7 linked regions of the Macaca fascicularis genome follow. The protein of the gene in region 4 interacts with the protein of the main gene of each other region in a biochemical or structural test. Links are inferred from orthologs where the notes say so. Each region holds a gene or a part of one and is shown on either strand. Other genes may lie near its edges.

Region 1 (3,777 bases), on a different chromosome or scaffold from region 4:
AATTCCAGAGTCAGCCCTGCGCACAGGCAGAAAACCAGCTGCATCTTACAGGTTGTGAGAGAACGCCCAATACACCAGGGACTTTTTTGGGAAAAACTTCTCTCTCTCCAAAATTACACAACCACCAAACACTCTAAGCATCACGTGAAATGCTGCATTTGCAATCCGAATGGCACTCAGGGACCAGTGCTTTGATGAACCAGCAGCAACACGTTCGCCACTGACAATCAACTGCAGAAGCCACTCCTAGACGCCGGACCCCACGGCAGAGTTTTTCCTTTTTTTTTTTTTTCTCTCCTTGTAATACATTTTTATCCACAGAACATTTGCTTTTAAATAAAGAAACCTCTAAGACTCTGTATGCAAATTAATGGAATCACAAGATAATAAAGCTTTGATTCAGAGACACTCATTTATCCCTCCACCCCTTCCACTTCTCACACCAGAGAGAAAGTCTGCTTAAGGCGGATTTAAACTGAGGACTTTGTTCAAAAGTCTTCCTCAATCTTATGATTGCTGCAACATGAAGCCAGCAGCACTGACTCCTGGAAAAAACAAGCATAACCCGGGCTGAACCCCAGCGTGTGGGCCGCAGAGGCAAATCAGTCATAAAGTCCGCAAGCGCACACCCCCAGAGACCCCGAGAATGTGGCTGTCTTTCTGCAATGCCCATGTCCGGGCACCCTTGGACATCCAGAATTCAGCATGTCCTTACATTCCTGAGCCACACCCCGGCCGTCATCCCTTGTGAGGAAGAGAGGGGGTGAGTCAAATGAAAACGTCTTAAGCAGCCACTCAGGCCCACACTCTTGGGCTCATATGCGTTCTCCAGCATGGAACGAGACCTTAGACAGCAAGAGGCTACGTGCCAGTTCTTCCTCTAATGGCTTAGTTCACCTACTGATTTCTCCTTTGCTTTTCCATTTAAACTAAAGCTCCTCTACTCCTCAGAGCTCACCTTGCCAGAGCCCCGCTTGGGCACACCCCTGTCACCGCCAAAGAAGCGCCCAATGGAGTCAAGGATGCCCGTGTCTCTGTGCCTTGGGAGGAAGCCATGCCTGGCATGGTCCATGGTACTTGCTGTGGCCAGGTACTTGGATCCGTGCCTCTGGGAGGGTCTCTTCTGTGACGCCATCACATCCAGGCTCTCGGAGGTGGCTGCACTGTCTTCTTGGATGGTCTGGAGCTCGTCGGACTCAGAGGGCCTGTCTTTGAAGGTGTTGTCCTCCCTCCCCGGGGCATCTCGGGAAAAGAGGCGGATCAAGTGGGGGCGGCTCCCTGGGTCAGCTGGGTGGGCATCCTGCCAGGCATTCTTCGGGTCCGCTGTGCGCTTGGAGTCAGTCACCGCTGTGTCCTGAGAGGAGGTCCCATTGTTCTGGTTCGCATCTGCCTCTCCTGCAAACAACAATGAGATATGAATACGGCCTGTGCAAAGCTGAGCACCGGACAAAGCAGCTTTCTTTCAGGGGTCTTGACCTAGCTGTCTCCTATAAAACCCACAGAATATGTGCAGTCCTCATAAAGCCTTTGGCCTAGGATGGAGCTAACCTGGATGGAGCAGGCTTATTGCAGCTCTGTGTTTCAGAAGGTCCTGGGAATTCCTCAGTTATTCGAGATTTGGCACCCTGGGTAAAATGCACCAAGGCTTCCCGATGAAGTAGGAGCACGCAGAGCGGCCACATCAGCATTTCTTCCTGGGTGCTGCCATGGCTGCTCCTGGAGAGCCCCAGATGTGCAGGCACCTTAACGGGACATGGACTGTTTAAAAGGCCACTGGTGCATAAGTTAAATATGTAAGGATCATTTATTTCACAAAAGGTGTTTTTAGTTTTCTTGGCAGAAGCAAAACTTGCCACGTCTTTTTGCAATCCATGCATGAAAGAAGTGGGGCATTTAGAATTTTTTCAATCCCAGATTCCACAAGAGGCCTCTCACAATAGAGAACTGCTTATTCAGGACATTTTGACTTGGCTTCTCCTCTGGAAGCAGAAACAATTAGAAATCTGAAGTGGGATTGAGAAATCTCATGTTGTATACCAGCATCTCATAGCTTTCTCCAAAAAACACAGCATTTCTGACACAAATGACATTAAAGCCATTTTACTTTCAAGTTATAGTGTTAGGTTTAAATGAATATCATTTACTTAGTTTCCTCTCCAAACTCGATTACTTATCTACAGAAAACAGGATTCACTCACATATTCCTGTAATACCAGTCAATACATCTATCTGTCCATTCATCCATCCATCCACATATCAGTTCATTTACCCATCCATCCATCTATTCATCCATCCATACACACCCATCCATCCAGCCATCCATCCATCCCCCATCCACTCATCCATCCATTCATCCATCCACTCATCCATCTACCCACCCATCCATCTATCCACTCATGCATGCATCCATCCATCCATCCATCCACATATCAGTCCATTTATCCATCTATCCATCTATCCATCCATCCATACACACACCCACCTACCCATCCCTCCATTCATCCATCCCCCATCCACTCATCCATCCATTCATCCATCCACCCACCCCTCCATTTATCCATCTATCCATCATCAATCCATTTACCCATTTATCCATCTATCCATCCGTCCATATATCCACTCATCCATCCATTCACTCATCCATCCATCCATCCATCCATCCACTCATGCATTCATCCATCCACACATCAGTCCATTTACCCATTCATCCATCTATACATACGTACATCCACCCATCCATCCACTCATCCATTCATCCACTCATCCATCTATCCCCTGTTCACTCATCCATCCACCTATCCATCCACTCATCCATCTATCCACCTATCCATCCATTCATCCACTCATCCATCCATCCGTCCATCCATCCATCCATCCATCCATCCATCCATCCATCCACTCATGCATCCATCCATTTACCTATCTGTTCACCCATGCATCCATCCATCCATTATTTGTGAGTATCAAATAGGTGTAATGTACTGTTCTAGATATCTGAGTTACAGTGATGAACAATATGTGGTCCTTGTCCTCGTGAAACCTACATTCTAGTGGGGAAAGCAGGTGAAAATGTATGTTATGGATTGAATAGTATCCCTCCAAATGATACATCCATGTCCTAACCTCTGTACCTGTGAATGTGACCTTATTTGGAAATAGGATATTTGCAGATGGAATCAAGTGAAGAGGAGGTCATTCTGCAGTGGGGTAGGCCCTACTCCCATCACTGGTGTCCTTATAAGAAGAGAGCAGTTTGGACACAGGCACAGACACCCAGGGAAGAGGTGTGAAGATGGAGGCGGAGCGTGGCGGGGTGCATCTACGAGCCGCAGAACACCAAGCACCTCCGGCACCACCAGGAGTAAGAGACATGGCGCAAATTCTCCTGTAGAGCCTTCAGGGGCAGCAGGGCTCTGCAGACATCTCAGCTTGAGAGTTCCGGCCTTCACAATGATCACAGAAGAATTCCTGTTGTTTTAAGCTCCCAGCATGTGGTAATTTGTCTTGGCAGCCCCGGGAGACTCATGCAATGGGCAACTTCACATCAGGCAAGAGAACAGGAAAGCAGAGAGGGCTTGGGTCAGCAGGAAGGTCCTTGTGGAAGTGACATCTGGACAGGATGAGAGTCTGGGCCCTGTGAGGACTTGGGGAAGTTGGGGAGGATGCTTCTGGCAGAGGGGAAGGCAGGCCCCCCTGGAAACCTGCGAGGAATCGGCTTACAGGTGGCAGAAGCAGCAGGAGAGTGGCCATGCTGGTCCTGGGTCCAGGAGGACAGCC
Region 2 (2,627 bases), on a different chromosome or scaffold from region 4:
TCCTACTGGAAAAGTCCTGACTTTCTCAAAGGACATGCCAACTCCTTTGCCTGTGTTAATCTTTTCTTTTTCTTTTTTTCTTTTTTTTTATGAGACAGTCTCACTCTGATACCCAGGCTGGAGAGTTGTGGTATGATCTTGGCTCACTGCAGCCTCTGCCTCCCGGGTTCAAGTGGTTCTCCTGCCTCAATCTCCTGAGTAGCTAGGACTGTAGGTGCCTGCCACCATGCCCAGCTAATTTTTGTATTTTTAGTAGAAACGGGGTTTCACCATGTTGCCCAGGGTGGTCTTGAACTCCCGACCTCAAGTGATTGGCCCATCTTGGCCTTCCAAAGTGCTAGGATTACAGATATGAGCCACCATGCCCCGCCACCTATATTCATCTTTTCTACTTGCTACTCCTCCTTGCTGACCCTCAGATTTACTGTGAGAGGAGTCCTCTGCCCCTTACACGTGCTGAGGGGTGATGCCCCGTGTTGACGCTTGGTCTTCCTTGATTCACTCAGCTCCTGGGACAAAACCAGACCTCTGAAGCCTTGAGTCGGGCCAGGAATACTCCTGAGCCTCAAGTTTCCTTCTTTCTAATAATCTTAAAAGTAAAAATAATGATTCCATACATTTGTATAATAGTTTCCATTTCCAAAACACTTTCATATAAGTTAACTCATTTCTTACAACAGTTTTCTGGGGGAAGGAGCCATTATCTCTCTCTAGATAAAGAAGTGGGGGCTGGGCACAGTGACTTAAGCCTGTAATCCCAGTACTTTGCGAAGCCAAGGGGGCATTGTTGAGCCCAGGAGGTCGAGACTAGTCTGGGCAACATAGTGAGACCCCATCTCTATTATTACAAAAAGAAGAAAGAAAGGAAAAAAAAAGAAATGGGAGCTCAGAGAAATCTAGTGACATCTCAGTGAGACAAAAGTTGGAATGTGAACACTGGCTCTGCCTCAACCCAGTGAGCTTCTTTGCACTACTTGTTGCCTCATATCATGTTTAATTCCAGGCCTCCAAGCCAACTTTCCAGATAGATATTCTTTTTTTTTTTTTTTTTTTTTTTTGAGACAGAGTCTTGCTGTGTCACCCAGGCTGGAGTGCAATGGCACAATCTTGGCTCACTGCAACTTCCACCTCCTGGGTTCAAGCAACTGTCCTGCCTCAGCCTCCTGAGTAGCTGGGATTACAAGGGCCCGCACCAGGTCCAGCTAATTTTTGTATTTTTAGTAGAGACAGGGTTTCACCATGTTGGCGAGGCTGGTCTCGAACTCCTGACCTCAGGTGGTCCACCCACCTCAGCCTGCCAATGTGCTGGGATTACAGGTGTGAGCCACCGCGCCCGGCCATCCAGATAGATATTTTTTGCTGGTTGTTAGTTGCAAAATAAACAGCTCTAAGCAGAAAGGGTTTCTTCCTTTCTTGCAGGAGTGCTTGATGGTGATGGGCCTATCAGGGCTCTGACGCCCAGAGGCACTGATGCCCCCCATTAACGTTGTTGGCCTTGTTTACACCCACAGACCCACCTGTCTAGCCGCAGTTGGCACACAATGCCCAGAATGTCCACTTCCCCTCGGGCCTTCAGCTGTTGACAGCCAATTCGCGTGGCGATGAAGCAGCCTGTCCGGCCAATCCCTGCACTGAAGATAGCCAGGGAGGGGAAAGGGAGGTCATGGGAGACAAGGGAATCTAAGAGCCAGGCCCCAAACCATGGAGAAAGAAATGGGACCTGCAGGTGCTGTATTTTGGGGATAGGACTCTGGAGATGGGGGCAGGTAGAGTACTTCGGATTCCAGTCCCCTTGGGGACCCTGCTGGAGGCAGGTTATAACTGGCACGGGAGGAGTTTACATTTCTTACCAGCCTCACTGTAAGCCTGTTGCAGGCCACCTTCTGGTCCCTGTGGACGTTTTGATGATCTCCACTCTGCTGAGCATCTACAGCAGTTTCCAACAGACAGTTCCCCACTTGTGGGCGTGCTGACCCTTGAGCCCTCCTTATCTAACCTTGACTTCCTCTCAGCTCAGACTCATCTTCCACGCAGCCCATGCCCGGCCCCTCTGTTTCCCACCTTGGCGCCCTCCCACAGTCTTCTCTCCGCTCTGCTCTGCTTGCTCCATCGTGCCCTCTGTTTATTTCAAAACTCCCCAGGCCTCCTGTTCCTCTTGCGTGAGCCTCTAATGACCTCCCTGCACATGTCCCACTGCTACCTGTGGGTGGGCTGGGAAGGCCCTGTGTCATGCTTTTTGCCTCTGTGCTCTGTTTTATTTAGGATATGCACTCCCAAATGATCTCTTTCTTTAGTCTTATCCCCTACGATACCCTCTCACTCCAGCCCAATCCATTTTTCACTCTATAGCCAAAGTGTTATTTTACAACCAAGTGTCTTAGCCAGTCCTACAAGGCCCCTCATCATCTGACCTTCACTGGCCTTCCAAACCCATCTCTCATCATTACCCCACACATAACCTCTGGGCCCAACCTGTAACCCTGCTCCCAGCAGTGTATCCATTTTCACATTTCTTCTCTGGGCCTTAGTTAGCATATGCTGTTCCACCTGCCTGGAATGTGTTCCCTTCCCTCTCTTTGCTTGGCTAATTCACCTTTCAGGTCTTAGCTTGGCTTAGATGGCCTTTC
Region 3 (4,356 bases), on a different chromosome or scaffold from region 4:
AAATAAAAGCATTGAAATTTCAATAGAAATGCCGTAATTTATTCCATTGTATAAAAAAGTTATCCTTATGTAACAAAATGTCTTCTTAGAAGAAGAAATATATTATTTCAGGTCATAAATAATCAGCAAACATACAACTGTTGGCAACTAAAAAAAAACCCCAACACTGGTATTTTCCATCAGTGCTGAAAACAAACCTGCTTACGATATATTTACAGGATAGTACAGTACTCAAAAACAAAAATTGAGGTATTTGGTTCTTCTAGGAGTAGACAATGACATTTGTGGAGGCAGACACCTCCACAAAAATAAATAAGGTATATTCTCATATGTATATGTGTCGTCGGGAATGATAATACTGGTAGGTATGTCAAGCATGAAGAGATTCTACAAAAAACAGGAGCGAGCAAAAAGAAACTGGCTCACACACTGAGTCCTTTCTCTTCTGCCCCATTTTGTCAGAGGGACTTGATGTACCCACTACATATTGGTCCCGAATGTGCTGAGTTCAGCAGATGTCTTGACGCTAAGTCATCACAACGACTGCTTAGGAACCCAGTGGAACTCGGGCGAAGTTAAATAAATAAAGACCAGCCCTCTCGAGCCCCTCCCAGAGTTACTGTATTTCTCCTCTCAAGGAGCCTGGAGTCCCAGTGGGATGTGAAGAGCCTCACCTCCCACAGCCTTTCAGCAGCTGGGAGAGGTCGTGATGGGACTCTGAAGGTAGCTCAGCGCACTGTTCGTGGAGTGGACAGGGATGGAGACGGGGAAGTTGAACACAGTGGTGGTGGAGGTGCCTCGGTCGAGCACAGCCATGGCGGGGCTCCCAGCCTCTGCCGAGCAGTGTGGGGCCAGCACCTGGGACTCAAACTGCAGCAGCTGGCCCATGAAGCTGAAGTTGGGGGAGATGATGCTTCGCCTCTGCTTCACAAACTCAAAGGCCTCGTCTAGCTTGACTCGGTTAGTCCTCATGAGGTAAGCAAGGCAGATAGTAGCTGACCGGGAAATGCCCGCCTGGCAGTGGACAAACACCCTTCCTCCAGCATTCTTGATGGAGTCTAGAAAACAAAAGGAGCGGCTGGTTACTGGAGAGCTCAGGAGAACCACCCCAAGCCCAGGTACAGTGTATCTGAGAAAGGTCATGTGTGTCTTGTCTAGAAATGGTCAACATCACCACACGCCATCACATGGCTACTGTTCATGGAAGCAACTTGGGCACTGCGCAAAGGATGGCACAGGATTTAAACTCAGACTGGGGATTTCCACTCAGCAGATAGATCTCACACCAGTCAATTCAACTTTGTGAGCCCCAGTTTGCAAATCTGTAAAGTGGGACATTGAATCAAATTCACATTTTGCAGGAATGTTGCCCACACCAGACTGATACTGAATGTCTGGAAGAAGGCTCATAAGACTTCAAGCTCTTGCCACAGAGGTTGGGCTTAGGGGCTAAAATGAGAACAGAGAGGCAGAAAAGCCCCAGGCATCCATTCCATTTACCTATGAAGTCAATGGCCTCGTTGAACCAGGAGCTGATGTCTGCCTTGTGGTTGTCCTCCACAGGGATGCTCTTGTATTGGTAGTGACCCTCAAAATGGTTGGGACAATTGGCTGAGACGTTGATCAAGGCAGTGATGCCCAAGGCATCCAGCATGTCCTTGCGGGAAGCGTGATAGGCACTGCCCAGGTACAGAAAGGGCAGGATTTCCACCGGGCCACCCTGAAATCCAGAAATATCCAACATTCATCAAGCTCGCTCAAAGCCAAGGCCAGTGCCCACACCCACAAAAACTTTCTGCTGGAAAAGTCAATTTCAGATAGCGAGTGAACTCAGTTCTGTTGCTGGAGGATAAATAAATAGGGAACTAAGCCCATTTGCCTGGGCAGGACCAGCAAATTCATTTCTGTAGAGCCTACAATCATATCCCTGTGTCCCCTCCGTTATAAATAATGCTGCAGGTCACTTTCTATATTCTCCCTGGCACCACTCCTCCGTGCCTTTGCCAGTTCTTACTTCTCCCCTGTGGCAGGGACACCTACTAACCTGATCGTAGAGTGGGGTACTGCAGGAACTGCACCCAGATTCCGCGCTGTCAGGGACGCTAGTACTCAGGGGAAGGCTGAGCCCCATGGGGGTCGACTGTTTGCTGCACAGCTCCGGGCAGGAAGCCGAAAACGCTTCGTATCCTCCTGGGAATACAAAGACATTTTTTTTTTCCTCAGTGACGCCGGGACAGGGCACCTTCATACGACTCCCCCACCCACCAAGGGCTGGAAGTTTACAGCGGAAAGGCCCAGGCAAGTCTTTGTTCCCAGAGCCAAACAAAGCCAATGACAAGTTCCAGAGATAAATGTACTCCAGCGCCCACGCGCTGCAGGTGGGGCGACCCCCCGGGAGCCAAGAGCCGAGGGTACCGGGCAAAATCTCAGGGGTGTGCGGCCCGCCCCGAGCTTCCCCGAGGGCGTACCTTTGAGGAAGAAGACTTGCGCGGCGCGCGCCTCGCGGCAGAGCGCACCGGCCGCCAGAGTCAGGGTGCCGTCGCGCCTGGCGCCGTCCAGGGCGGCGCTGCGCTCGTCCAGCAACACCACGGCGTGGTAGGCGCCGGCCAGCAGGCGGCCGCGCAGCTCGGCGTTGGGCACGATGTGCTCCAGGCCCATGGCGCCCTTGGCCCGGCGCCGCACGATGGTGCTGAAGCGCACGTTGACAGAGCCGGCGATGTGGCCGGCGTTGAAGGCGAAGAAGGAGCGGCAGTCCAGCAGCAGGCATTGCGCCGCGCGCTCCCTCAGCAGCGCCCGCAGGCCTCCAGCGTCCAGGGTGCCCACTTCCATGACCATGGCCGGCCTCAGCGCCCCCAGCGTGATCAGCCCTGCGGTGCTCTTTGTCCTCGGGGCCAAGGGCAGGGCGGCGCCTTTCGAGGAAAAGCTAGACCCCCGGGTCGCTCTGCGCCGAACCAAAAGCTGCTTTTGGACTGAGAGAGGAGCGTCACGCGGGGCTCTGGGCTCTTCGGCTTCTTCGCGGTTGCCCCGACTGCCCCTTCGAACCACGTCGCACACACAGCCCGAACGTCCTTCGCAGCGAGCCCTATCTGGGGAGCTCGTTTATATGAGGCCTCTGGGCGACGGGGCGGGCCTGACCCGCGCGCAGGGGGAGGAGGGTGTTTGTTTGAATGGTGATCACGTGACGGGGCGGTGACGTCACCCGCCCTGCCCGGCCCGGCGCCGCCGAGCTACAGGGGAAGACGTCATCAGCCTCGGAGCTGGGTCCGCTCGCTGCGCGCTGGCTCGCGGCCCGGCCCCCGCCCTGCCGTCCGGCCTGCTCTTGGCGCGTCCCCAGGGACTGGGCCCGCGCCGCGCTCCGGGCCCAGCGGGGAGGCGGAGGGCTCGCTGCCAGCTGAGGCTGACCTCTGGGATGCGAGCGGCCGGGAGAATGGGCGACGTGCCATCTGCCTTGGCCTCGCCGCTCCTCCGTCTCTCCCTCCCCGAGTCCCCTTCCCCGTGCCCCTCGGCCTTCGACCTGAGCCGAAAGGGGCTTCCTGCGCTTTTGCATACTCTTGTGCCCCTTTCTCTCATTTCCTCATCACTAACAGGCGGGGAAACTGAGGTTCCCCAAGCGAAGCTACTGACTTGCCCAGAACCACACTACTGGGGTGTGGGGTGGGGCGGCGCGTGGGGCAGCACAGAGGCGCCTAAGATGAAGTTTGGAGAAAAATGAACAGCTCTGCCGATAGAAAAGTCGTTCCTACCAAAAACGACTCGAGCGAGTTGGGGCGGAGAGGTTCAGGGCAATGCTTTCCTGTTTCCCCGACTTTCTTTAAGGTGGCTTTAAAATATCTACATTTGCCATGAAAGTGTAAGCGAGCAAACCCCCACCGGGAAATAATGCTATTCCTAGTCTGTGGCCCCCGGAAGACTTGGAGCCAAGGAAGGCAGGTCAAGGGGCTGAAATCCCGGTCGGGGGTCGCAAGGCCCCGCGGTGGATTCCCGGGTTTGGCGTTTGGAGGGGTGAGGGGCGACCCGCAGCGCGACTCGACGGCGCCCCCCAGGGGCCGCCCGACACGTTTCTGTCACCTTGGCTCCAGACCGAGCTTCTCCATCCCTTTATTACACAAATAGGCAGTATACTGAGTGAGCGCCCACTAAGCGCTGGGCTGGGGGGCTCCAACCCGGAACAGAAGCCGGCCCCAACCCTCGCTCCCTGTCGTCGCTTCCGTTATAGGCTGAAGGCAAAATCCAATCCCGGGCCGTTCTGGGCGGACTGCCAGGACATGGATCGCAACGCTTGGGAAGACCCCCCGCCCCCAACGCCCAGCGATATCCATGCCCTGAGTCCCAGTGACGGCCCCCTGGACAGCACAG
Region 4 (4,234 bases):
GGTGGGGGCTGCAGACACCGCAATACAAATCCCCGCTCTTGGGTGGAGGGCTGGGACTGAGAGTGGGTGGGTGGGGTAGGGAAGAGGTGACAGGTGTCACAAGTTGCTAAGGAGAGCCAGACAGGAAGTGGACAGCAAACTAGGAAAGCAGTATCAGGGGAGGACAACAAAGGCTAGGCTGTCCCTCCCTGGGCAAGGTGCAAGTCCACAGGTGATTAGGGTGTGGCTCTGAGTGAGAAGTCCTAAGAAGGACAAGTTTCCATCTGGGGGAGGGGAGGAGGAGACAGCAACAGAAACACTTGATTTTAGGTTTCCTGGGCCTCAGCTTCTTCATTTTTTTTTTTTTTTTTTTTGAGACAGGGTCGCGTTCTGTCCCCCAGGCTGGAGTGCAGTAGCACAATCATAGCTCATTGTAGCCTTGAACTCCTGTGCTCAAGCCATCCTCCTGCCTCAGCATCCCAAGTAGCTGGGACTACAGTCATGCACCACCAAAGCTGGATAATTTTTAAATTTTTTGTAGAGATGGGGTCTCACTATGCTGCCCAGGCTGGTCTTGAACTCCCAGCCTCCACTGATCCTCTGGTCTTGGCCTCTAAAGTGTTGGAACTACAGACGTAAGCCATTGCACCCTGCCCTCATCTTTGAAATGAAGCTGCAAAGCCTATCTCATAGGGTAGTTGGGAGGTGTAATAGAAAAAAAAAAAAAAAAGCATTGGGCATGTATAGTACCTGACACGCAGTAGGACCTCAAGAAAGGCAGTTTTTTTGTTTTTGTTTTGTTTTGAGACAGAGTCTCACGCTGTCACCCAGGCTGGAGGGCAGTGGCACGATCTTGGCTCACTGCAACCTCAACCTCCGCCTCCTGGGTTCAAGCGATTCTCTTGCCTCTGCCTCCCAAGTAGCTGGGATTACAGGCATGCGCCACCATGCCCTGCTAATTTTTTTGTACTTTTAGTAGAGATAGGGTTTAACCATGTTGGCCAGGCTGGTCTCCAACTCCTGGCCTCAGGTAATCTGCCCACCTCAGCCTCCCAAAGTGCTGGGATTACAGGCATAAGCCACCACGCCCAGCTGACAGTTTGCTTTCTCCCTGTCTCCCTTCCAGTCTGGGGAAGGAGGAAAGAGAGGAAAGAACCATCCATTTGTTAGCAAGAAGTGACTGTGGGCAGAAGCTGGGTCATGTCTCAGAACTGCCGATGTCAGAAGACAACACTCCCATAGAGACCATCCTGTCTAGCCCTCCCCCTTGGGGCACAGAGCAGAGAACTGACTTGCTCAAGGCCATATTGCCCGGCTGCAGCAGGCCTGGGTTCATCAGAGGCCTCTAAGTCCTGTTACACTGTGGCTTCTCCTCTGCAGGAAAGTTTATTTTACTGGGTTTGTTTTGGAGGGTGGTGGGTAAGATGGAAACAGAAAGCAAGCAACGGGTCCCCAGCCCAGCTCCGAGGCTGTATATGACCAGCGGACTGGGCAAGGTGAAGGATACACATCCCTCATGGCTTCCAGGGTGGACGCACGCAGAATGTCTCGGATGCCGATGACATTCTCATGGCGGAAGCGCAGCAGGATCTGGATCTCCCGGAGCGTGCGCTGGCAGTAGGTCTGATGCTCGAAGGGGCTGATCTTCTTGATGGCCACGCGAGTCTTGCGCACGTGGTCATAGGCCGAGCTGAGGGGACCGGAGAGAGGCTGCTGCTGTGGCCTTACAAAGGGGGAGTCCGGGCCTGGTGGCCCCACCCAGGCCTTGGCAGGGAGGGGAGAGAGCAGGAGCTGGCTCTGGTCAAATCATAAACAATGCTGGTTCCTTCCTGCTGTGTAGGGCTGGGATCTCCAGAGAGAAAGCTGGGGACCAGCCAGGCGGCCCTTCGGTGACTTTACAAACAGAGGAAGAGACTGACCGCTCACTGACTTCCCCTCTCCTCAATCCCCTTCCATTCTACTGGCCCTGAACCCTTCGCCCCCATTCCCAGGAAAGGTTCCTTAACCCAAGACAGGTCCGGGGGTGCAGATGCTGGGGGCACACCATGGAGCAAATACTGGGAAAACGGCAGCCAGGGGAGGGGCAGGAGAGAATGGACAGGGCAGGGGCGGGTCCTAGGGTGAGGGAAGCGGGCAGCAGGGTTGTCCCAGAGCTCACGGTGGGGCCGGGGGCACTCACAGACCCCTCCCAAAACATGCAAGTGGCACTCCTGGCCCCCTCATCTCTCTTTGGGCACCTGGTGGTGGTGGTGGTGGGGCCAAAGCCCTGCCCCACCCTGATCTCGGCTCGTCTACCCCAGGCTCCCTGGCACTGCCTCACAGAGGGAATCCAAGACACCCTTTCCCCCAAAAGGGGCCCTCCACTGCCTCTTCACTAAGGATGTCGCCTCCCCGAGAGTACTCATCCTCTGGGCCTCGCCCCGTGTCACTAGGGTCCCCGCGGGCCCCCACATGCACTCAGATGCCCCTCCCGTCATTACAGAAGGGTGGACTCAAAGCCTCCAAGCCCCCTCCCCTGAGGACGCAGGCAGCGCCCTCTCCCCTAGAAAGCACTCAGGGGTCCCCTCCCTGGGACGCTCCCGATCATCCCGAGTCCCCTGCCTCCTCGGGACGCTCCGCGTCTCCACGTCCCGGAAAGCGCTCGGCGCCTCCCCCTCCTCTCCTGTGAAGCCCCCTCCCCTGAGGGCGCCCCCTCCCCCGGAACGCCCCCTCACCTGACCATGCCGTACGCGCCCTCGCCGATGTACTGCAGCTGCGTGTAGCGCGGGCCCACGTCGAACGGCTGCCCCTTCACCATCTCCACCTCCCCCGGGACCCCCGGGCCGACCCCCTCGGCTCTCCGGGGCTCCCCACCCCCGCCCCCCTGAGCCGCCGCCGCCGCCATCTCCACTCCTCCCCTCCCGCCGCCCTCCTCCCCCCGGCGGCCCCGCCCGAGGCCCCGCCCCTTCCCGCCCGCCTGTCACCCGCAGGGCCGCGCGCTCCAGGCCCCGCCCCTGCCCCGGCCCCGCGCGCCCCCGGCCCCGCGCGGGCCTGGAGCCGTCACGTGACCCACCCCGGGCGCGCGCCCGCCCTTCTCGCCCTAGGTGCGGGAGCCCGGGGGTCTCTGCTGGCTCCGCGGTCACCAAGTCATGGGGAGGCTCGGCAGCGCCGCCTCGGAGACTGTCCTCACCCTCCTCTTGAAGGCGAAGCGGCCAGGGCGTGACCTACCAGAGCCACCCAGCCAATGTGTGCGGCAGCCCACCAGAACCTGGGCCCGAGATCACCCTAGGTTAAAAAAACTGTTCTAATAAATGAATCAAATTTTACAGATGGGGAATCTGAGAATTGGGCTAACTAACTTGAGTAAGGTCACTAGTAATGACAGAGCTGAGACTCAAAATGATGTCTTCTGACAGAGGCTCTTTTTAATTCCATGCCTCTCAGAATCCTAGACTGTTTTTATTTTATTTTAGAGACAGGGTCTCACTCTGTCGTCCAGGCTGCAGTGCATGGTGTAATATTTACTGACTGCATTCTCAACCTCCTTGGGGTCAAGTGATCCTCCTACCTCAGCCTCCCAAAGAGCTGGGACTATGAGTGCGCTCCACCACGCCCTGCTAATTAAAAAAAAAAAAATTGGGGGACTGGGCACTATGGCTCACGCCTGTAATCCCAGCACTTCTGGAGGCTGAAGAGGGCGGATCACTTGAGGACAGAGTTGGAGACCAGCCTGACCAACATGGTGAAGCCCTGTCACTACTAAAAATACAAAACTTAGCTGGGCATGGTGGTGGGCGCCTGTAATCCCAGCTCTTCAGGAGGCTGAGGCAGGAGAATTGCTTGGTACCCAGGAGGTGGAGGTTGCAGTGAGCCAAGATTGCACCACTGCACTACGCCTGGGTGACAGAGCGAGACTCCATCTCAAAAAAAGAAAATATAATTTTTTTTTGGTAGATACTGGGTCTTGCGATGTTGTCCAGGCTGGTCTGAAACTACCGACTTCACAGGATCCTCCCACCTCGGCCTCCCAAAGCTCTGGGATCACACCTGTCCATCTCAGACTGTTACAACTGAAGAAAGGGCCCTCGGAGATCATCCAGTCCATCCCCCTCATTTCACAGCAAAGATGTGAGCTGGAAGCTTCACAAAAACACACAGCTCCCAACCTTCAGTAAGTAATCATGTAGTGGGTTTTTTTTTTTTTTTTTTTTTCCCTGAGAAGCTGGGAGTAGGTCCTTGGATGCATTACAGATCAAGAGACAAAATGGAACAGTAA
Region 5 (4,226 bases), on a different chromosome or scaffold from region 4:
GACAAAAACTGAGTCCTCATGGGACTCACATTCTAATGTGGAGAGACAGACAACAAACAACCCACACAGTGTGTCAGACAGTGATAAAGGGCAATGGGACAAAGCAGGGACCTGGCTTGAGCCCTGCTGGGTGTGCAGCTTCAGATGGCCAGGGAGGGGTTGACTTTTTTTGTTTTTACAAGTAGCATTGTTAGGAACTTCTTCTTTATACATGTGCCTTCGTATAGTATATTCCAAGCACCATGGTGTGACAATCAATCTTTACTGAAATAACACTACCCAGGTACAACAAAATCAAATCACTCTTAGAAACATCTCTTATGCCTGTGCCTTTAGGAGAGTGTATTACACACGCCACAGTGGTTGTTTTTTGGTTTTTATTCAGAGACAGGGATCTCACTATGTTGCCCAGGCTGGCCTGGAACTCCTGGGTTCAAGTGATCCTCCCACCTCGGCCTCCAGAGTAGTTGGGACTATAGGTGCACACCCGTGCCCAGCTACACACCACAGTTTTGTGAACACATTCTTTCAATGCAACAACACAGTCCTTATTCACATATACAAGTAGCACTCTTAGAAACAGCTTTTATATTTGTAACTTTACAGAGCATATTACATACCTCAGTCTTGTGAACACATCCTTTTGAAAAGGAGGAAAATCCTTACTCATATATAAACTGGCATTCTTAGAAACATCTTTGATACATGTATCTTTTTATACTGCATTCCACACACCACAGTGTGGTAAACATCCTTTGGGGGTTGGTATTTGAACAGAGTGCTGAAAGGAACCATGCAGAGATCCGGGGGTGGTGTTCAAGGCACAAAGAACGGCCAATGCAAAGGCCCTGAGGCTGGCCCATGCCTGCTATGTTTGAGGAGCTGTGTGGTGGAGCCAGTGTGGTTGGAGCACAGTAAGGGGGTGGGAAGGTATAGGCGGTAATGCTAGAAAGGTTACTTGTTTCACCATTAATTCACAGGTAATATTTATTTACACTGGAGGGGATTCTAGTTCTGATCCCCCATTTCACAAATGAAGAAAAAGGTACAGAGAGGAAGTGGTTAAATCACACATCGAAGGTCACACAGCTGCTGGTATTGGGGGGTGGGTGGGTGCTGAGAGAAGGTGGGGAATGAAGACCACTCTGCAGGCAGAGGGAACAGCAAGAACAAAAGCTTGGAGGTGGGAACTAATTTGGTTTTTAAGGACTGAGGCCTCACGTGGGGTGGGATGCGGTCTAAGAGGGGAGCCTCAAAAATTATCCTGTGTCCTGAGTACTTCCTGGGCCACCTTTGAGTAAGGAATTTAACCTTCCTATGGCCCAGCTCGCTCACTACCTATCTCATGGGGTTGTGGTGAGGATTAAAGGAACTCATTCATATGAAACACTCTGCCTGATACACAGCAGGTGCTCAATAAACGCTAGCTCCTACTGGCATTACCATCATCACTGTTGCTAATGTATTCACTTATTGTAGTGAGGCAGAACGTCTTTGTGGTTACTAGTGTGATCAGGCTGACCCACTATTAAGAGGTGAGGGACAGGCAAGGCCATACACTGCTCCACAAGGAAAAGAGGATCAGCACGTTCTCTTCTGGGAAGGGGGAAAAAAAAGAAGGAAATTGAAAGTACACGGCCGACCTTCCCCCAATTACAAAGCACTGGACTCACGGGACGGTATGCGGGGGACTGTGCAAGCATACAGGGGTGTGGGGGAGGAAGGCCAATGAACAGATCCACTGCAAAGGGAAGGGGTGATGAGGCTCATCGCCTGAGGGGAAGGGGAGCAGAAAACCTTACAGACTCCTGCACCACAGTAAAGGGAGAGAAAAGCCATCACACAGACTGATTCAAAGCAGAGAGGGAAAAGGCTATGGACTGAGCTACTGAAAATAGGGAGATATAAAGCACTAAACTGACCCACTATTAAAAATAAGAGAGAACCCCAAGGGCTAGAGTGACAATCTACGAAAACGAGAGGGCAGATAGGGCAATGGACTGATAGCTAAAGGGACGTGAATCCAAACATGAAGACTGATCCACTATAAAATGGTGGTGGTGGTGGGGGCGGGGGGGAGGTGGTTCTGAAAAAAGCCATGGACTGATGCATTGGGGGACTGGAGGAGGCAGGAATACAAACTCAGGTAGACTCACTGTTAAAGAGGGATGCGGAGGGGTGCGGCGCCACGGATTGATTTCGCTACAATGTACAGGAGGGGTGGAATAAACAAGGCCACGAACGGGTCTTATGAAAGTTGAGGCTAGGAGAAATCCAAACACTCAGATACACCTACTATTAAGGGGGCTGAACACTGTCACAGGCTGGCTCCCTGTAAGTGGGGGTGGGTGGGGGGCGGGTGGGGGTAGGGGGAAAGCCTATGGACGAGTCCACCCTAAGTTGGCGTGGGGAAAAACATAAGCACGCAGACCGATCCATTACACAACGGGAGGGGGAGGTTAGGCCACGGTCAGATCCACTACAAGGGACGAAGGGCTTGAGCAATGCCACACGCAGGTCCACCAGCCGTGGTGGTGGCGGCGGGGAGTCGAACACCAGCAGGCCACCGGCCAAGCCACATCCTTTGCGCGGGGGCGGGAAGGATACGTGGGGTCACGGACGGGGCCCTCCACCCTCCAGGCCCAGAGCTCACCTGTGTGTAGCGTGGCGGTGGCGTTGGCAATGTTGGCAGCTCCGGGGGGCGGGGGCTCCATACGCGGCCCCACCGCCCCCCAGGCCTGGGTTCCGAGGCGGCGGTGGCGGTGGTGGTGGCGGTGGCGGCGGCGGCGGCGGCAGCACCTAGAAGCCGCCCCTGCGTTTCCCTACGGCTCACGTGGGCCCGGGGAGGAGGAGCCCAGTGTCCCGCCGCTCGCTGATTGGCCAAAGCGCTATTAATCGGCCGCAAGGCCTCGAGGGGTTGGGGGACGGGCCCTTCCCCACAGAGCTGTGCCGTGATTGGCCTAAGGGGAAATGATGGAACGCTCACGGCCCCTGGAGTCCCGAGGAGGCGCGTTCGGCCTTCCCGGTGCTCTACGCCGATTGGCTCAAGGACTGACGGACTGTGAGCAACTGACGAGGCTCGGGGCGTGTGTGTAGAGGGCGGGGGGCTGCCTCACACTGATTGGCTTACATGGGATTGATGGAAGACAGCCTCCAAGGACGGGGGTGGGTAGCCCTGTTTTTCTCTGATTGGCGGATGAGGGACTCCTAGACCCCTGCCAAAACACCAAGGGGGTGGTGCCGCACGCCACGCTGCTCAGCGGAAGCAGGACTTGTATAGAAATGGGCGTAGCAGTCGGCGGGAGTGGGTCGGGCTGGGCTCCGCGTAGGCGGGCAGGGCAATTCTTTGGTTAGAGAAGACCATAGAGCTGGGTAGAAGACGAATTTAGAACACAGCGGCGGTAGGAAGGCAGGATGGCTGTCAGGCACACGAAGGAGCATTGAGTGGCAGAAACGAAATGCCTTCAGAGGGCAGGGTTGAACTGTGGCCAGAGTTAAAAAGGGGAGGAACCTGGCTCTGCGTTGATTGGCGGAGGCTGGACTCAACCTAGAATAGGGGCCGGACTAGGGAGAGCGGGATCCAGCTCCGTGCCTATTAGAAGCTGGAACCACTTACAATAGCAGGGGCTAGGACAAGGTAGGGCTGAGATGGATTTAGGGTAACGATTGGGTGTGTGAAAGGGTAAACCTTAGGGCCCTTTGATTGTTGTGGGAATGAACAAACCTCCACCATGAATTGGCCCATTCTCTATGGCAATTCAATGGGTGGTGTCTAGGAAAAGGAATGGAAGGGTGAGGTGGGGGCCCAGGTTGCCAAAATGACAGGAGAGAGGGCAGTGCACAAGGTCAACTGGCAAATGCTGCCAGGCAACAGGCTGGAGGCAGGACTGTTGGGGCATTTTAGAGGTTCCACAGAAAGAGACTGGATCTCTGGGTCTCTCAGTAACTTTGTGCCCTAGGAACAGGCCCCCGTGGCAACCAGCAGGGTTTATGGGGAAAAAGAAGGGCCATGTGACTCAAAGGCATTCAGGCTCTTTAATGTCTGAGGATGGGGGGAAGAAGTCAATGGTGAGGCTTCTCTGGGAAATTCTGCAGGCCTTGTAGTTCTCTAAGCCCCTGAAAAAGAGGACAGAAGAGACTGAACAAAGATTGAGTCTGGGTTACGCCCCCAGGCTTGCTCTGACCTCCCTCCCTTGACTCCAGTTTAAAGGGAAAGATGGTCCTTC
Region 6 (4,509 bases), on a different chromosome or scaffold from region 4:
TGCAGCCAAACCATGCAGATTTCTTCGACTCTGCAATCCCTGGGACTTGGCACCATGACTCAGATGTGAATGAAGTCAGGATGGGTTTATTTTGGTGGGGAGTCACCGCCTCCTGATTGATTTGGCAGACGTTAAGTATTGTATGTCTTACAGGGATTTAAGGTACTTAAAGCCAGAAGTTAAAATGGCCATCATTCTGGTGGTGGCCCTTCATATGTGACTTAAGGATCCCCAAATTGGAAGGTTAAGGGAGCTGTGGTCCCAGCCTAACAGTTCTGGCTTTACTTCCCATCCAGCAGCACAGTGGATATTGAAGAAAGTCAGTGAAATGTTAGATCCAGGAGACTGACTGCTAAAACTCCTAGGGTATCTAGAAGAGCTAAGTACGTGATAGCGGATTCGCTTTTCCAAACTGAGGAGGGTGAACTTCCCCCAACCCAATCAAGATCTGTTGGACCAAATGATGTCCAACTGCTTGAAACATCTCAGCTGCACAGAGACAGAAATGAACAAAACAGCTTTAGTCTAAGGTTGTGTGGGGCAGTGCAAGATGCTGCTTCTCCAATTCATCTGTCCACACAGCACGGTTCCCCATTGAATAAACAGGATACTATCCACTTATCAGAGAAGTTAGGGAGGACCTGCCTTTTAATGCTGCTTGGAGAGACACTGTCAATGAGCGGGGACGTTGGGGAATTTGGACCCCAATTTCTTGTTCTTCTACACTTGACCTTGCCTTCCAATTCACTATGAAATATATTTACTAGGTTTGCTTCTTCCATTCTACAAATCATGCGAGTTTTCTATACTTAACTGTTTTCCTAGAGGCAATGTAGGAGGGACTCAGCTGGACTTTGTTTCCAGGCAATGAGAGGCTCCCAGGTTGATCCCATTAAGGCAATGCCCTCATTTTGAATAGGGGATGACTGGGACCCCTCCTCCCCCACACACCTGAATTGGAAACTTGGCTAGGCTTTGTACAAGCCCTTGCCCTTAGGCAGTCCATAAAATGGGAACAATACTGAAGACAATCCTGTAAGCCAAGAGTGCAAAGGCTCCGGCGCGTAGTAGGTCCGTCTCCTCCTCCCGCCGAGGGGCGCCAGAGTTAAGGAACTTCTTACTGGGAAGGGGTCCCTCCTTTCAGCAGGAACCTGACCCGCAGAATGGATCGGAAACGCGAGCAACCCTCGGATCCCTTCCCCGTCGACGCTCGGTGAAAAATCGATCGACGACGGAGGGCGCGCAGTCCCTTCTCCGCACGCCCGCCAGCGCCAGGGGCGCGGCCGCCTCCCCGGCCTCCGCGCCCGCAGCTTGAGGCCTCAGGAGAAAGCGAGATTCCGGGGCTCGCCGGCGGCGGTGGCTTTCTGTGTCCTGGCGGATCCCCAGCCCCGCGTCCGCGTGCGCGGCGGCCTCGGGGGCGCGGCGGGAGCGGGCGTGGCGAGCGCGCCGGCCTTCCCGCTGCAACTGCCCCCGCGGCGGCCCGGCGGAGAGTGCGGATTGCGCGCGCTCGGGGCGGGGGAGCGGGCGCGCGCGAGGCCGCCGGGCGCGCGCCGCGCCGCCTAGTCCCCGCCGGGCCGCCCGCCCCGCCCCTGGCCTCCCGCGAGCTGCGCACCGCCGGCCGCTGCCCCAGCTGCCCGAGCCCGCGCCCTAGTCCGCGCGACCCAGCGGCGGGCTCCAGGCCGGCAGCATGAGCGGCGGCGGCGGCGACGTGGTGTGCACCGGCTGGCTGAGGAAATCGCCTCCCGAGAAGAAGTTGAGGCGCTATGTGAGTGCGGGCGCGGCCGCCGAGGGGCGGGCGGGCGGGCGGGGGGCGCTCCGGGGCCTGCGGAGGGGCGGGGGGCTCCCGGAGGGGCGGCAGGCTGGGGAGCTCGGGCCCGGAGCCGCGGGGGCCGGGGGCGAGGAGCGGCCAGGGTCGTGTGGGGTACCTGCACACCTGTCACAGGTGCGCCGCCGAGGGGCGGGGCGGGGCGGGCGGCAGGTTGAGGCTGCGGCTCCTGCTCCGCCAGGCGGGCGCGGCGTCGGCGCCTCCCCAGGCGGTCTGCCCGTAAACTAAATATAGTGTCGAAGTTTGTATTGATGGCTTCTGGAGACCGAGAGAGTTGACTCTCGGGGCTGGGGCTCCGCGGCGGCCCCTAGCAGCTTCAGCTCACAGGTCCGGGAGAGGGCGGGAAAGGGGGGCGTAGGCTGTGGGCCCGCGCGGACGGCCCCACAAAGGGCGAGCGCCTCACGCCCTCTCCTTCCCTTTCTCCGCCCGCCCCTCCCGGCCGCCGGCCTCACTCCGTCCGCGGCTGCATCACCGGCAGCGTCAGCGGCATGTGCAGCCCTTGTATTAAGTGACTCATTTGTTTGTCCCCCTTCTCTCCCTTTATTCCGTTCGTCTCTCACAGGCGCCTCCCCCGACCCCGGTGTGACACTGCAGTTTGGTCCCCGTGGCTGGCCCGGGTTTGGGACCTGGCAGCTCCCGGTTGTCTGGGGTCGGGAGAGATCGAGGCTCTCGGCGCCCAGGTGTTGCCAACCCACAGTGTTTACTGACATCGCTGGAACAGCCTCTTCCCTCTAGGTGGGGAACTGGCAGTTTGGGGGAGGTGGAACGGCGTGGCGCTGAGCCGTGGAGTTCTGGCTTTTTTTTTTTTTTTTTTTTAACCCCTCTCCCCAGAGGATGCCTTGCCTGGTGAGGTCAAAGTACAAGATGGTGCCAGTTACTGAGATTTTGCCGAAATGGTCCTGGGGTAGTCGCGGGAGTTTGGAAGTGGGGGTAAGGTGGCTGGAAGGTTTCAAGGTCTCTCATCTGCTCCCTCTCCTTTTCCCATGAAATGCCCTTGTTTAACGGGCTGTGGTGCCGGACTCCGGGATCACTCCCACAGCCTGGAAGGGAGCCGTTGCCTCCAGCTGCAGTGCATCAAGGGAGCTCGGAATAGACCCTGCCCTCTGTCAGCTGCACCAGTGGCTGTCCATGGGGGGAGAAGCAGAAGCCTACCAGAATTTCCTGTCTTGGCTCCCCAGATCAGAATCAAGGGACTTCTGGCCTCTGGACTGAGGAAGTGACATTCTGTTTTTCAAAGGAAGTGTTGTTGTTGCGGAGTGCAAGTGTGTGTGTCAATGAAATCAGGCTCTTACGTAGATGTTTGCTAGGAAAAAAAAAATTCTGATTTAGCACATGACTTTTGAAAGTGGACGTGGATTTATAGGAGGGATGAAGCAGTGAATTGTTCATCTCAGTTTGAAAGCTCATTTTTAGGAGTGTCTATGTAGCCAAAGTATAATTATTAAGAAATACACTTTTTTCCTCTTCAGGCTTGTATCAGTTCGTTAGGAAGGTTGAATACTTTAATTAGGATTAAGGAGCAGTGATTTACTATTAACAATTTAATAAATATTTTTAAAACTTTGTCCCAAAGAGCTTCCAAAAATTATCTTTACAAATAGATTTCCATACAAGCTAGTGGAATAGAGTGTCCACAGTAAAAAAAAAGAAAAAGTGACCCTTAGTTTTCAAATTTGAACACTACACTAAACCTTGAAACTTGTTTTTGAAACAATTTGCAAACAGTATGACATTGTATCTCCATTTGACTTACCGCTCCTTGAACGCTCACCCAGACTCTCTTTATGACCCATTTCTTGGGTGTTTTTGTTCCCAAACAACTTTAGTTCAAAAAAACCAGGTTTGGAGGCATTTGGGTCAAGCACCTTTTTCACTCATTTGAACGAATCTAGAATCGTGTGATGGCCTTAGCCTCTCTTTCCCATCTTCGATGCACCTTCAGCCCATCAGGTGTCAGACCTTAACAGCTTTCAGTAACAGCTTTTCTTAGGCCAGGATGTGATGTGTTCACTTACATGACTGGAAGCCTCTGCCCTTTCGAAAGTTCAGTTTCCCCCCAGTTGAAACTGCTGATCTGTGTAACCTTAAGCTTCCGGGGAACAGTATTCTTTTACGTCTACTGTTTTTGGGGGTATTAAGAATTTTTGCATCCTGTTGTAAGTTAAAACTCTGCTAGTTTGCTTATTTCAGTAGAGGCCCGAGTTCATCAGAACCAAACTTGGAAAGTATTTCCCAGCCTAATGGCTGTATATTTACCCCAAAGTAGCTGCTGCTTCTGGTATACATCATAGTCATGTTATATTGTACTGAGAAATCCTCTTTATAAGAATGCCACAAGCATATGAGATAAGGGGAAAAAGTAGTTGATGAACTAGGTTATAACTATTTAAAACGATTTTTTTAAAAACTGATTTAATTCGAAGGCTGGGCGCAGTGGTTTATGCCTGTAATCCCAGCACTTTGGGAGGCTGAGGCCGGCAGATCACTGGAGGTCAGAAATTCGAGACCAGCCTGGCCAAAACCCCGTCTCTACCATAAATACAAAAATTAGCTGGGCGTTGTGGAGGGCACCTGTAGTCCCAGTTACTCAGGAGGCTGAGACATGAGAATTGGGTGAGTCTGGGAGGCTGAGGTTGCAGCAAGCCGAGATTGCACCACTGCACTCCAGCCTGGGTGAGAGAATG
Region 7 (3,777 bases), on a different chromosome or scaffold from region 4:
AAATTTCCTAAACTCTAGATTGTCATTCCATCTCCTTCTTACTATTTTGGACTTGCTTCAGTTCAAAGTGTCTAAATTCAATGTATCTGAAACAGAATTCATTATCTTTTCCCTCAATGGCATTACCAGTCAGCCACAAGTTTTCCAGCCTAGAAATCTTGGAACCATCTTTTACATCTCTCCCCTTCTCACCTCCCACATCCAACCTGTTACCACTTCTTCTACTTTCCATCTCTGCTGAGCCTGTGGGATTCATGCTTTCCTTTCTATAGACTGTACTCACGTTTTCAACATCTCCTTTTATCATGATTAGCAGTGATCTCATTATAGTTTCCAAGTCTCAAGTCTTTTCCTGGACAAATTCGCACAGCTGCTAGGTTCATCTTTCTGAAATAGGGACTTAATTATATCATTCCCTACTCAAAACCTGTAGATGGCTCCATTAATTGTAGCATAATGTCTAATCTCCCTACCATGGTATTCATGACCTTGCAAAATCTGAATGTGACTAACTTTAAGCCTTTTGTACTTTGCTGTCTTCCTTCCCACGTGCCATGATTTTCACTTACATAAATTGTTTGCAAAACAGCTTTTGGTTTTCCAATTTTTCTGTGTTAATAATGTTTTCTTGGTCAGAAATGCCCTCCCTCCTTTTAAAACTACAACATTGATTGTTTCAAAAGGCTCAGTTCATCATTATTCTAGTTTTTGGAAGTTTTCTTCGGCTCCCATGGTTGGAAATAATTGCTCCCCTCTTGGCACTAAAATAGCACCTATTTCTCACATTTGGCACTTGTTTCCTGTCAAACGTGAGTGCAGAGGAATTCAGAGGAGTGGCTCCCTTTTAGTTGAAGTTTCCACAGAAAGTTCATTTCATTGAAGAAATAGGATTGGAACTGTGCCCCATGAATGGCAGGTATTTAGGCTGTCATAATTGAGGAGAATATTCTAGGTGCGACAACGATATATAACGAAAGAAGGAAAGAATTAATGAGAAACAGCAAATATGATTTGCAACAATAAGTAGAATAGCTTGTCTTGAAGAGGAAGTTATTTTAGTGGAACTGTGGGAAATAAAGATAGAAAGGTACCCTGCGATCTTATATGGAAGTCTAAGAGGCTTGAAATTCATCCTTTTTTTTTAAATAAGAATTTGATGAAGACTGTAAGCTTTCACTCTTCAGAAAAATTCACATAACTTTACATACTCAAATGTGTTCAAATAATTTCAAGAAGTCCACTGACTTCTGCGGTTTATGCATAGGTTCAAGGTTAGGGACTTTTGCTCTAGTTTTTTTGTTGTTTGTTTTTATGACAGAGTCTAGGTCTGTTGCCCAGGTTGCTGAAATACGCTGGCAGGATCTTGACTCACTACAACCTCTGCCTCCTCAGTTCAAGCGATTCTCCTGCCTCCGCCTCCCAAGTAGCTGGGAGTACAGGCACATGCCACTACGCCTGGCTAATTTTTGTATTTTTAGTAGAGAGGGGATTTCATCATATTGGCCAGGCTGGTCTTGAACTCCTGACCTCAAGTGATCTGCCCGCCTCGGCCTCCCAAAGTGCTGGGATTACAAGCGTGAGCTACCGCATCTGGCCCATTGACAAACTTTGAGCAGAGACTCCATGTAAGGTAAGACGGAGAAGGGCACAGGTAGACAATGGTGGCGGTGAGAGCATGGGGGAGTGTGGTGTGTGTGTGCATTTTACCAGCTACTTCTAAAATACATGGATGAGGTCAGAAGGGCTTAAACTATGGTGGCTGGACAGGAAATGGTGATTATGGGAGAAGCTTTGAAGGGAAAGCCCATCTAGTGACTGATTAGATACTGAGGTTGGAGTTAAAAGAAGGGCCAGAGATAACCGTCAACATGGGATGCTGAGTGACTGGAAAAAAGATAGTCTCATTCTCAGAAATAGTAATCAGAAGGGGAGCTGGTTTTATAGGGGAAGTGACTAGTTCATTTTAGATATCCTGAGTGTTTAATGACTTTGGGTGGGGGACAGTTCCAGCCCTAAAGCGTAGTGAGTTAGGCTGTTTTTTTGTTTTTGTTTTTTTGGCTCCAAGTTAAGTTTAGGATAAAGCCAGTGTTATCTACCTTCGGATAAACAGACACATATTAAACTTTACTCTTAATTAAACCACACAATCTCAAAAATGGAGGCTAAAATTATACTCTAAAATAATATATTTATTAAATATATCATCAAAAGCTAACTTAAGAGACCTATGCGGTTAAACAAAGCAACACAAATTATTTTGAGAAAGCATGAAGAATAAATGGCTGGCTGGGCTTGGTAGCTCACACTTGTAATCCCAGCACTTTGGGAGGCCAAGGCAGGTGGATCACGTTTGAAGTCAGGAGTTCGAGACCAGCCTGGCCAGCATGGTGAAATCCCCGTCTCTACTAAAAATACAAAAATTAGCCAGGCATGGTGGCGCACGTCTGTAATTCCAGCTACTTCAGAGGCTGAGGTGGGAGGATCTCTTGAGCACAGGAGGTCGAGGCTGCAGTGAGCCAAGATTGTGCCACTGCACTCCAGCCTGGGCAATGGAGTGAGACTCTGTCTCAAAATAAATAAATAAATAAATAAATAAATAGTTGTTCATATAAATTACTTTAAAAACACTCGCTTCAGTTTGGTTACATTAAAAGGAAAACAAGGGGAGGGAGGTATCAGTTCTAGGAGGAGAGCTTTGAACTAGAAATTAGGGACGGGAACCAGCACAGACCCTGCTGCTGTTGTTGGCCTGGCCTCTAGCGCTCCGTGTTCTGGTCACAGCACTTTGTTTTCCTTTGGTGAACTACCATTTGCTCAATTCTCATTTCATAAATTTATTTCAACCTGTTTTTCTGGAGATAACTCTTAAAATAATTGACTGGTTTTCACCAAACTTGAAATAGTAATAAATGTTACCAAGATACAAACCAAGCAGAGTTCACTTGTCATTTGAAACAACAAAAAAGTCACTGATAACTTCAAAGAATGCATCTTAATTCCTAGTGTGTACAAGACTGATGAGACTAAATGAATCAATATAAGTTTCAAAGCAGATAACTGCTGAATAAGGTCTCCTGTTCACTGAGCCATTTATTTCGAACTTGTATTTCGCCTACTGTGTAATTGTTGTTTGCCAAAAATGACCTAAAAGCATGACCTCACTTCTGTCAGCATAATCTTGATTAAGACTCAAATATAAGGGACTTAACCAGTTTCAATAAATATTTAATTTGCCAACAAAGTCACATCCAGGAAGCAAAACCCACTTGTACCTGCTCTATGACTTTACAAAGAATGGGCCATTGCTTAGACAGAAAGGACCATTCACATCTTACCTGCAGTGGACAACCACAGGCCCTCGGCCCTGGGAAGCAAGTCTGTCTTCTTCCACATCCAGCATGAGCTGTAGGAGGGGCTGGGCACTGTCTGGAGTCTTGTGATCAGGCCATGAGGTGTACCAGTAATGCTTCACATGTTGGGTGTGGCTTCCTTGCTGAAAATAGCAACAGCCACCAAATGCCTCATTCACTTGTGGAACTAAAAGTCATCCAAACCACAATACTGAATGCCTTTTTATCACCCCCATCTTGCTGGCAATTTATTTCTAGGTGGGAAAAACATTTAGAAGATTTTTGAAGAGTGCCCTTTTACTTTGAGAAGACTTTACTGTCAGTATTCAGTTCACAAAGTGAGAAAGTCTTACCTTTGTTGAGATTTATATCTCTACCTATAGCTATAATATAGATCATAAATGTAACATATGCTAAACATATATTT

What was found.
Region 1: of the proteins of MAPK3 (region 4) and MBP, one has a biochemical effect on the other in vitro, tested with the Homo sapiens proteins (5 studies listed by BioGRID). The link is inferred for Macaca fascicularis from reciprocal best matches to the Homo sapiens genes MAPK3 and MBP.
Region 2: the proteins of MAPK3 (region 4) and PTPN7 form a complex in vitro, tested with the Homo sapiens proteins (3 studies listed by BioGRID, with this or other methods). The link is inferred for Macaca fascicularis from reciprocal best matches to the Homo sapiens genes MAPK3 and PTPN7.
Region 3: of the proteins of MAPK3 (region 4) and DUSP1, one has a biochemical effect on the other in vitro, tested with the Homo sapiens proteins (2 studies listed by BioGRID and IntAct). The link is inferred for Macaca fascicularis from reciprocal best matches to the Homo sapiens genes MAPK3 and DUSP1.
Region 5: of the proteins of MAPK3 (region 4) and ELK1, one has a biochemical effect on the other in vitro, tested with the Homo sapiens proteins (6 studies listed by BioGRID and IntAct, with this or other methods). The link is inferred for Macaca fascicularis from reciprocal best matches to the Homo sapiens genes MAPK3 and ELK1.
Region 6: of the proteins of MAPK3 (region 4) and GAB2, one has a biochemical effect on the other in vitro, tested with the Homo sapiens proteins (2 studies listed by BioGRID). The link is inferred for Macaca fascicularis from reciprocal best matches to the Homo sapiens genes MAPK3 and GAB2.
Region 7: the proteins of MAPK3 (region 4) and PTPRR form a complex in vitro, tested with the Homo sapiens proteins (2 studies listed by BioGRID). The link is inferred for Macaca fascicularis from reciprocal best matches to the Homo sapiens genes MAPK3 and PTPRR.

The regions. Positions count from the first base shown.
Region 1 is NC_088392.1:3,780,571-3,784,347, reverse strand, and holds part of MBP (myelin basic protein), read right to left. Parts: intron 1,396-3,777; coding exon 959-1,395; intron 1-958. UniProt on the Homo sapiens protein: The classic group of MBP isoforms (isoform 4-isoform 14) are with PLP the most abundant protein components of the myelin membrane in the CNS. They have a role in both its formation and stabilization.
Region 2 is NC_088375.1:59,905,795-59,908,421, forward strand, and holds part of PTPN7 (tyrosine-protein phosphatase non-receptor type 7), read right to left. Parts: intron 1,632-2,627; coding exon 1,518-1,631; intron 1-1,517. UniProt on the Homo sapiens protein: Protein phosphatase that acts preferentially on tyrosine-phosphorylated MAPK1. Plays a role in the regulation of T and B-lymphocyte development and signal transduction.
Region 3 is NC_088380.1:179,585,181-179,589,536, forward strand, and holds DUSP1 (dual specificity protein phosphatase 1), read right to left. Parts: upstream 3,075-4,356; 5' UTR 2,836-3,074; coding exon 2,469-2,835; intron 2,191-2,468; coding exon 2,045-2,190; intron 1,721-2,044; coding exon 1,501-1,720; intron 1,059-1,500; coding exon 688-1,058; 3' UTR 18-687; downstream 1-17. UniProt on the Homo sapiens protein: Dual specificity phosphatase that dephosphorylates MAP kinase MAPK1/ERK2 on both 'Thr-183' and 'Tyr-185', regulating its activity during the meiotic cell cycle.
Region 4 is NC_088394.1:27,971,407-27,975,640, reverse strand, and holds the start of MAPK3 (mitogen-activated protein kinase 3), read right to left. Parts: upstream 2,899-4,234; 5' UTR 2,864-2,898; coding exon 2,694-2,863; intron 1,670-2,693; coding exon 1,487-1,669; intron 1-1,486.
Region 5 is NC_088395.1:47,748,300-47,752,525, forward strand, and holds the start of ELK1 (ETS domain-containing protein Elk-1), read right to left. Parts: upstream 2,827-4,226; 5' UTR 2,654-2,826; intron 1-2,653. Other genes in the region: protein UXT, read right to left, coding at 4,063-4,116. UniProt on the Homo sapiens protein: Transcription factor that binds to purine-rich DNA sequences. Forms a ternary complex with SRF and the ETS and SRF motifs of the serum response element (SRE) on the promoter region of immediate early genes such as FOS and IER2.
Region 6 is NC_088388.1:77,317,198-77,321,706, reverse strand, and holds the start of GAB2 (GRB2-associated-binding protein 2), read left to right. Parts: upstream 1-1,585; 5' UTR 1,586-1,687; coding exon 1,688-1,765; intron 1,766-4,509. UniProt on the Homo sapiens protein: Adapter protein which acts downstream of several membrane receptors including cytokine, antigen, hormone, cell matrix and growth factor receptors to regulate multiple signaling pathways.
Region 7 is NC_088385.1:77,398,063-77,401,839, forward strand, and holds part of PTPRR (receptor-type tyrosine-protein phosphatase R), read right to left. Parts: intron 3,494-3,777; coding exon 3,336-3,493; intron 2,563-3,335; coding exon of another isoform or gene 2,457-2,562; exon of another isoform or gene 2,412-2,456; intron 1-2,411. UniProt on the Homo sapiens protein: Sequesters mitogen-activated protein kinases (MAPKs) such as MAPK1, MAPK3 and MAPK14 in the cytoplasm in an inactive form.